Pelodiscus sinensis: one gene and its partner. The protein of the gene in region 1 purifies or fractionates together with the protein of each later gene. This does not show direct contact. Links are inferred from orthologs where the notes say so. Each region holds a gene or a part of one and is shown in the gene's direction. Other genes may lie near its edges.

Region 1 (3,743 bases):
CGCTAATGTACTTAGGACCTTGAGTTGCCAAATTTGGTTGGACATATTCCTGGAGATTTCATCACATAACATAATCTTTAATTAAAAATTAATCTTGAATTCCCGGAGACTCCAGGACAATCTTGGAGGGTTGATAACCCTAGTAAGACCAGATCCATGAATGGCTTTCAACAGCATGCCCACGGCTTTGGACTGGCAATGAAAATAGACCAATAACTAGTGTTGCTGTGGCCTAATCTGCGGAGAAAGTGTGCTGCCTCATTCTGTACCACCTGTTAGCATTGTTCATATTTATATTCAGTTATCCAGTTTGGAGCTGATGAATGAGGCCAGGACCCTGACACAGAGGAAGAGATGTGGTTTGAAGAGATGAAAGGAAGAGGCCTTCTGGATCAGTCCTGCCTTTATGAGGATTGGGCACACTCTTGCCTTGTGTGTAATTTACATATCATCCTAGGTGAGATGGCATATTGATTTACGTGCAACAGGAACGTGGTTCGTGCAATAGGAAAGTGGTTCTGTCATATCTGTCAGCACATGCACGTTGCATCTGCAATATATCAAAACAGGCACGGCCTGTATGAAATACATATGTCATTGCTGCAGAGGGGATCTGTCTCTCAGCCCGCCTGGCAGCTTGCTTGCCATGTGCTGTTAGGCAAGCTGTTACAGGCGCAGGAGACAACACAATGGCCGGGGGACCCCCACGCCGTCACTCCCCGCAGGGCGGGGACCCCTAGCCCGCACACGGGGGCGGGGGTGGCTGGCCCAGCACACACACGAGCTCCCATCCCGTTGCCCCCTCCAGCCAGCCAGCGCGCGCGCTGTGGGGCGAGCGACGAGGGCTGCGCCGCCGCCTCAGCAGCTCGCCGCCCGCTCCCCTCAGGCCGGCTGGCGCCGCCAGCAGATGCGAACCTGCCGCCTCGCGCTGCCGGGGGCTCGGAGGGCTGCGGGCGGCCGCTGGTTGGCGGCGGGGGGACACGTGAGGGAGGAGGGGGCGGCGGGCGGCAGAGGGAGCCGGAGTTTCCCCGACAGCTGGAGGTTGCGGCGGCGGCTCCTCCTCCCCGCTCGAGCCAGGGCCCCCCGCGCTCCTCCTTATTTACAAACACACAAAGGGCCGGGCCGGGGACGCGTCTGCAGCCGGCATGGGAGACAAGAAGAGCCCGACCAGGTAAGGGCGGCGCGGAGGCCTGGCGCCGGCAGCGCCCGCGCCCTGGATTAGCGGCGCCTCCTGGCCGGGCCCGACCCTGCGCCGGGAGCAGCGGCGAGCCGGCTCGGCCGTGCAGCGGCCATGGCGGCCGCGGGAGCCGGGCTGCAGCGGGGGCGGTCGGGCCGGGCTGCGAGCGGGGCCTGACCCACCGCCCCCGCCTGTCCCCCCCTCCCCCCCGGGTTGTGTGTGTTGCAGGCCGAAGCGGCAGCCGAAACCCTCCTCGGACGAGGGCTACTGGGACTGCAGCGTGTGCACCTTCCGGAATAGCGCCGAGGCCTTCAAGTGCATGATGTGCGATGTGAGGAAGGGCACCTCCACTCGGTGAGTGTCCGGACACCCTGACCCGGCGCGCAGCAGCCCCGGGGTGCCAGGGAGCCGGCTGCTGCAGTAGGAACTAGGTCAGGTTTATGGGGGATCCCGTCGCCCGTGGGCTGTAGGGACAGGGACCAGAAATGCTGCAGCGTTTGCTCCCAGACTCATTTAACCCTTTGGCTCTAGCAGCTAAGAGGCATTTTCCTTTTATAAAATTAACAGAATACGTGTCCAGACACTAGCTGAAATCCTCTCGAAGGGGAGAGAAGGTGAGTTCCCTTCATTGCAAGGAGCTCCTGGGGCTTAACTGGCATCTTATTGTGCTTGCATTAGGTTTTGTTTTCTATGTTAAAGTACAATAGCATATGCAAGGTAACACTTTTGAAATACAATGCCGATAGGGTTTATTAATCTAATTATGAAAATAATTTTGTGCAGCATAAAATGAGGTGTTTTTATAAATTAAAATGTGAAAATATGGTCTCTACAAAGTACAATGTGTTAATCTTCCATTTTTTCATGGTGGGTCATCAATATGCTATTTCATCTAAAGCATTTGCTTCTATTATCATTGATTTTTCTTTATGAAGTAGCTTAATTCAATTTCCTCAAAAATCCCAAACAAAAATCCCTAAATCTTATTTATTTCTATGTTTAATGTTAAAGAACTATCCTGTTTTTTTCAATCCCACCTTAGAGATTTATTCTCTCTACAGAGGTGATTCCCTGCTACTACTTTTTCAAAGGGAATGTAAATTAGCTGAGTTTTTTAATACAGTGAAGTCAGTCTGGAAATCACTGACATCTCAGAGTAAACCTTTTCCGTAGAACATCATAAACATCCTGAGAATCATTTGGATCCAACATGTTTGTATAGTTCTATTATTATGGGTTAGAACAGAGGTAATCAGTTATTTTTTGTTAGGGTTCACATTTCTTTGTCAAGGTCCAAACTACAGAGAAAATAATAATCAGTTTCCGCTCCCCAGTAAATAAGAAGATTTTTTGGCCTATTCAAAAGCATTTGGCCCACATCTACTTCTGGGTTAGAACACGCTCTAAAGGATGGATAATTTTATAAAACCAACAAGTGTGCAACTGTGGAGTCTTTTGCACATTAGCATAAGAAAATAACATGTGCTTTTATTTATTATTATTATTAGTATTAGTATTATTTATGTATTATATCTTGTCAATCCTGTTAGCAAAAGAGATATGCCACAGTCTTTTATTAAGAGTTATAAGAGCTTTATTACAAACATAAAACATAATAATACTGGATACGATTTTTGCAATGAATTTATTGTAAATTAATGTTCAAATAATTCAGGAATAGACTTGTTCTCTCTTTTGATGATGTATATTTGTAAAAAAGATTTTTAAAAATATTTTTTCAAAACTAACTTTAAATTTATTAGAGAGTTCGTAGAATGACTTGTCTTTATGATAGCAGTCAGGTTCATAACCTTTTGACATTTACTTATCATACTATGTTTTCCAGTACTAAAAATGAGGCTAGATTTCTACTTAACTTGGTTTTTCAGTTTTCAGAGAATTTAATAGAATTATACATCTTTATTGAAGCTAGGTGAGTGAGGTAATACCTTTTACTAGGTCCGCTTCTGTTGGTGAAAGAGACAAGGTTCCCAGATCTGAAGAAGAGCTCTAGGTAAGCATAAAACCTTGTCACCTTTCACCAGCAGAAGTTGGTCCTATCAAGATTATCTCACTCATCTTGTGTGTCTACTATCCTGGGACCAACTTGGGTACAACAGTACTGCAGATATAGATCTTCAGTACTGTTGTACCCAAGTTGGTCCCAGGATAGTAGACACACAAGATGAGTGAGATAATCTTGATAGGACCAACTTCTGCTGGTGAAAGGTGACAAGGTTTTATGCTTACCTAGAGCTCTTCTTCAGATCTGGGAACCTTGTCTCTTTCACCAACAGAAGCGGATCTTAATAGTTAGACGCATCCAGCAAAAAGCTACCATGCTTGTAAGAGTGAAAGCAGATTTCCCCAAGTTCAATACAAGTGAAGGCAACAGCTTTCTTTAGCTTTTATTAAGGACTTGGAGCAAGTTAAAATAGTGTTTTATTACACTAAAACAATCATTTCAGGGAAAAAGTACAAGTGGCATTGGCTAGAGAGATAATTAGGGTACACCAGTGGTATAATTGTTTTATTCTGCAGTATTTTAAAAAGAAACACAAAATAT
Region 2 (3,743 bases), on another chromosome or scaffold:
TTGCTGATATTAAAGGTAGGGAGAGTGGGATGTTTGTGAGTTAATGGTATTACAGGTGATAATTGGGGAAACTGTCTTGGTAATGGGTGAGATAGTTCAAATTCTTGTTAAGTCCTTGTTGGCAAGTGTCGAATTTTAACATGAATGACAGTTCAGAGGATTCCCTTTCAAGTGCAGATGTAAAAGGTCTTTGTAGCAGAATGCAGGTGGCTAAGTCATTTAGAGAGTGTCCTTTCTGGTTAAATCTGAGCTGTCTACACTGGCCCTTTTGCGCAAAAGCTTTGCACAAAAGGGACTTTTACCCGCACGGGAGCAGCATAGTATTTCCACAAGAAGCACTGATTTCAGATAGCAGGAAGTCAGTGTTCTTGCGGAAATTCAAGCGGCCAGTGTAGACAGCTGGCAATCTTTTTAGGCAAAAAAAAAAATCTTTTTCCAGAAAAACTTACCAGCCTAAACACTGCCGAGCTGACCTGCTCAGGGTAGTTATACCCCACCCAGTTATAAGACCTGGGATTCGAACCTGTAACTCTACACAGCTCAAAGAGCTCTGTTAACCCCTACAGGGGCCCCAAGCCCCGCCCGCTGCCCACCAGCTCACCCCTTACTGACACCTTTGGCCAGCCAATAGAATGACAGGGTGCTAGAAGGTCCCGCCTCATGAAGGAGCGAAGCCACTGCGACCCGTCGCAGCCAATGAGCTGCTGAGAAAGAGCATCCCATCCGTCGGGGGCGGGATCGAGCGGAGGATTCTATTACGGCGGCGCGCTCCTCCTTAGAACGAGCGGCACAGGGGCCAATAAGAGGCAGGGACGGCTCTGACGGGCAGGTTCCTCACCCAGCGGCTGTCCGCGATGCCCTGAGTGGCGGCGGACTCAGCCAACGGACGCGGAGGAGGCGGGGCAGCCCGCGTGGTTTCCGCTCCCGTTGTGTGAGGGGGCCGAATCCCAAACGGTCTCCGCCGCGGCGAGCGCTGAGCGTCTCCGCCTTTCGGAGCCGGCCGCGGTCTCCCCCCGCAGCCCCGCTCGGCCCGTCGGTGCCCGGCTTCCGTAGGCCCCGCTCGGCCCGGGACAGCCCCTCCCCCCGCGCGTCTCACCCGGGCCCCCGGCCCCTCCCCCACCCCGGTAACCCGGCGGCCCCGCCATGTCGCTGCACGGGAAGCGGAAGGAGATCTACAAGTACGAGGCGCCATGGACCGTGTACGCCATGAACTGGAGCGTCCGGCCCGACAAGCGCTTTCGCCTGGCGCTCGGCAGCTTCGTGGAAGAGTATAACAACAAGGTGCGGGGGAGGGGCAGAGTTAAGGGTGAGGAGGGGGCGGGGTTACGGGTCACGGGGTAAGGTGGGGTTGTGGGGAAAAGGGGCAGAGTTAAGGGTAAGGAGAGGGCGGGGTTACCGGTCATGGGGTATAGTTAAAGGTAAGGTGGGGTTGTGGGAAAAGGGGCAGAGTTAAGGGTAAGGAGAGGGCGGGGTTACCGGTCATGGGGTAAGGTGGGGTTGTGGGGAAAAGGGGCAGAGTTAAGGGTAAGGAGAGGGCGGGGTTACCGGTCATGGGGTATAGTTAAAGGTAAGGTGGGGTTGTGGGAAAAGGGGCAGAGTTAAGGTTAAGGAGGGCCAAGAGGCAGAGTTAAGGGTAAGGAGAGGGTGGGGTTACAGGTCATGGGGTATAGTTAAAGGTAAGGTGGGGTTGTGGGAAAAGGGGCAGAGTTAAGGGTAAGGAGAGGGCGGGGTTACGGGTCACGGGGTATAGTTAAGGGTAAGGTGGGGTTGTGGGAAAAGGGGCAGAGTTAAGGGTAAGGAGAGCGGGGTTGTGAGCCAAGGGGTATAGTTAAGGGTAAGGCAGGAAGTGTGGGATCATGGGTTGGAGTTAAGGGTAAGGTGGCTGCCACACTCGGTAGGCCAGTCACGGAGTTCTTTGTGCGGCACTTCCAAGAGAGTGGTGGAAATGTGTCACTGCCTGTTGCTGCGAGCCCCCACCCCCTTCCTGGCCTTGTGCTCCTCGGAAAGCCCATAGGAGAGACTTTGCCACTGCCCCTTGTGCGTCTTCATCGCTGCGCAGGGCCTTGTATAGTTGCCCTGTGGGGCCAGTGAGTGTCCAGGCTTCTTTCTTTCTCCTAGGGGAGATGGCATAGGAGAGTGGTGTGGCTTATAACTTTGTGGAGAACCGTAACAAGATTGGGACAGTCCTGTGGCTGAGGTGGTGGCATCTTACACTGACTAAATTATTACCCACGCATCTAATGTGCTATCCAAATGTGATGTCTAGCTTTAATCAGCAGGCTGTTCGTGCCAGTTTCACACACATAGGAGATTTAAACAAGGAAATGCAATTGTAAAATGGCAAAAGTTAGCATCGGAACAAGGGAGAGTGGAGAGTCATAAGATAATTGTAACTAATTTTTAACAAATGAGTGGTTTTCCCATTGACAATCCTAGTGCCATTTGTGCCTCCAATATAAATCATCAACCGTGAAAGACCTCACACAAACTGGAGGAAATGAACTCTACAGAGTGCTGTTGAAAAAAGTGAATTTCAGTTATAATACTTAAAGATTTACCTCGTGTTGCTCGAGTCCTGAACTCAATTAACTTTTGGGTTTTGGAAAATATCATGCAACTGTCCATGTTTCATTTGAATCATTGCCTTGGGGTAGAGCTAGAAATGAGTGGTTGAATATGCAGGCTGCCCTGGGGAGAGAGGATCACTGTAGCAGCTTGAGGTCAGGTGAGAAGCAGCAATCCATGGCGGATACAGCTCTGGGGACACAGCTGAGGGAGGGTAGCATGTCCCCTGACTGGAGCAGGTGCAGATTTGTCTGTCCTCTGTGCTCTGCAGCCTGAGTGAGGAATGTAGCAAACACTGAATGTTCCACTGCATGAGGAAGGGGAACAGCCAGTAATGTTCCCTCACAAATTGGGGCAGTCCTGGGTGTGGGGAACCCTGTCAGCCCCTTGCCACATGCCTGGTGATTCTGTCTCTCTTCATGGTTGTATGAGGAGCAATCCTGTCCCAGGCCCAACCAGATTCTTACTGTGTTTTAAGTTATGGATAATAAGAGGAAGCTGTATCCCGAATGTGATGGTCCTAGCTCTTACTATTTAGGAGGGATTTCTTGAACAGATGCACACACAAAGACAAACTCTCAAATATAAAGTAGATTAGGTGATGTCAGAGCAGGTGGAAACTTGCAGAGAGAAATATATGTTTCCCTTTTAAGAGTGTAGTGTGGTGGTAGGATGGGAAATAAACTAAGTTTGGGGTTAATGGTCTTTTGGGGGGCCAGGCTTTTTGTCAGAGTGACAGATTAAAAAAGGAATGTAATGACAGTTTACTGCCATTAAAAACCTTCTCGCTTGCAATTTCCTCCAAAAATTCTCTTGACCTGAAACTTTCCGGCTTTATTTCTCTCTCTTACCTTCCCCCCCCCCCCAAAAAAAAGGGAGGGGGGGACTATTTATACTCTGCTAGATTGAGTTATTTGGGAGGAAAACACTGACTCTCTTTGGAAGCGCCTTGTAGTGAGTAATTCAAAAACATCTGAAGGTTAAAGTTTTATATGTCAGAAGGGAAACACACTCTGAAAAATGCAGTGACAGTCAGCATTTTTCCACGGTACAGAGAGGCTAAAAGAACAATGGGTATCATAATAAAATCCAAAACATTTGATTAAAAAAGTGGCTGCATCCCATAGCTATCTGCATCCTGTCAGGTTACAATCTATTCAAAACATGATGCTCTAGCA

What was found.
Region 2: the proteins of YAF2 (region 1) and DCAF7 purify together in Homo sapiens (affinity purification with mass spectrometry; 3 studies listed by BioGRID and IntAct, counting the BioPlex papers as one, with this or other methods). This does not show direct contact. The link is inferred for Pelodiscus sinensis from reciprocal best matches to the Homo sapiens genes YAF2 and DCAF7.

The regions. Positions count from the first base shown.
Region 1 is NC_134711.1:53,359,878-53,363,620, reverse strand, and holds the start of YAF2 (YY1-associated factor 2), read left to right. Parts: upstream 1-780; 5' UTR 781-1,145; coding exon 1,146-1,171; intron 1,172-1,405; coding exon 1,406-1,531; intron 1,532-3,743. UniProt on the Homo sapiens protein: Binds to MYC and inhibits MYC-mediated transactivation. Also binds to MYCN and enhances MYCN-dependent transcriptional activation. Increases calpain 2-mediated proteolysis of YY1 in vitro.
Region 2 is NC_134739.1:6,490,401-6,494,143, forward strand, and holds the start of DCAF7 (DDB1- and CUL4-associated factor 7), read left to right. Parts: upstream 1-893; 5' UTR 894-1,143; coding exon 1,144-1,281; intron 1,282-3,743. UniProt on the Homo sapiens protein: Involved in craniofacial development. Acts upstream of the EDN1 pathway and is required for formation of the upper jaw equivalent, the palatoquadrate. The activity required for EDN1 pathway function differs between the first and second arches.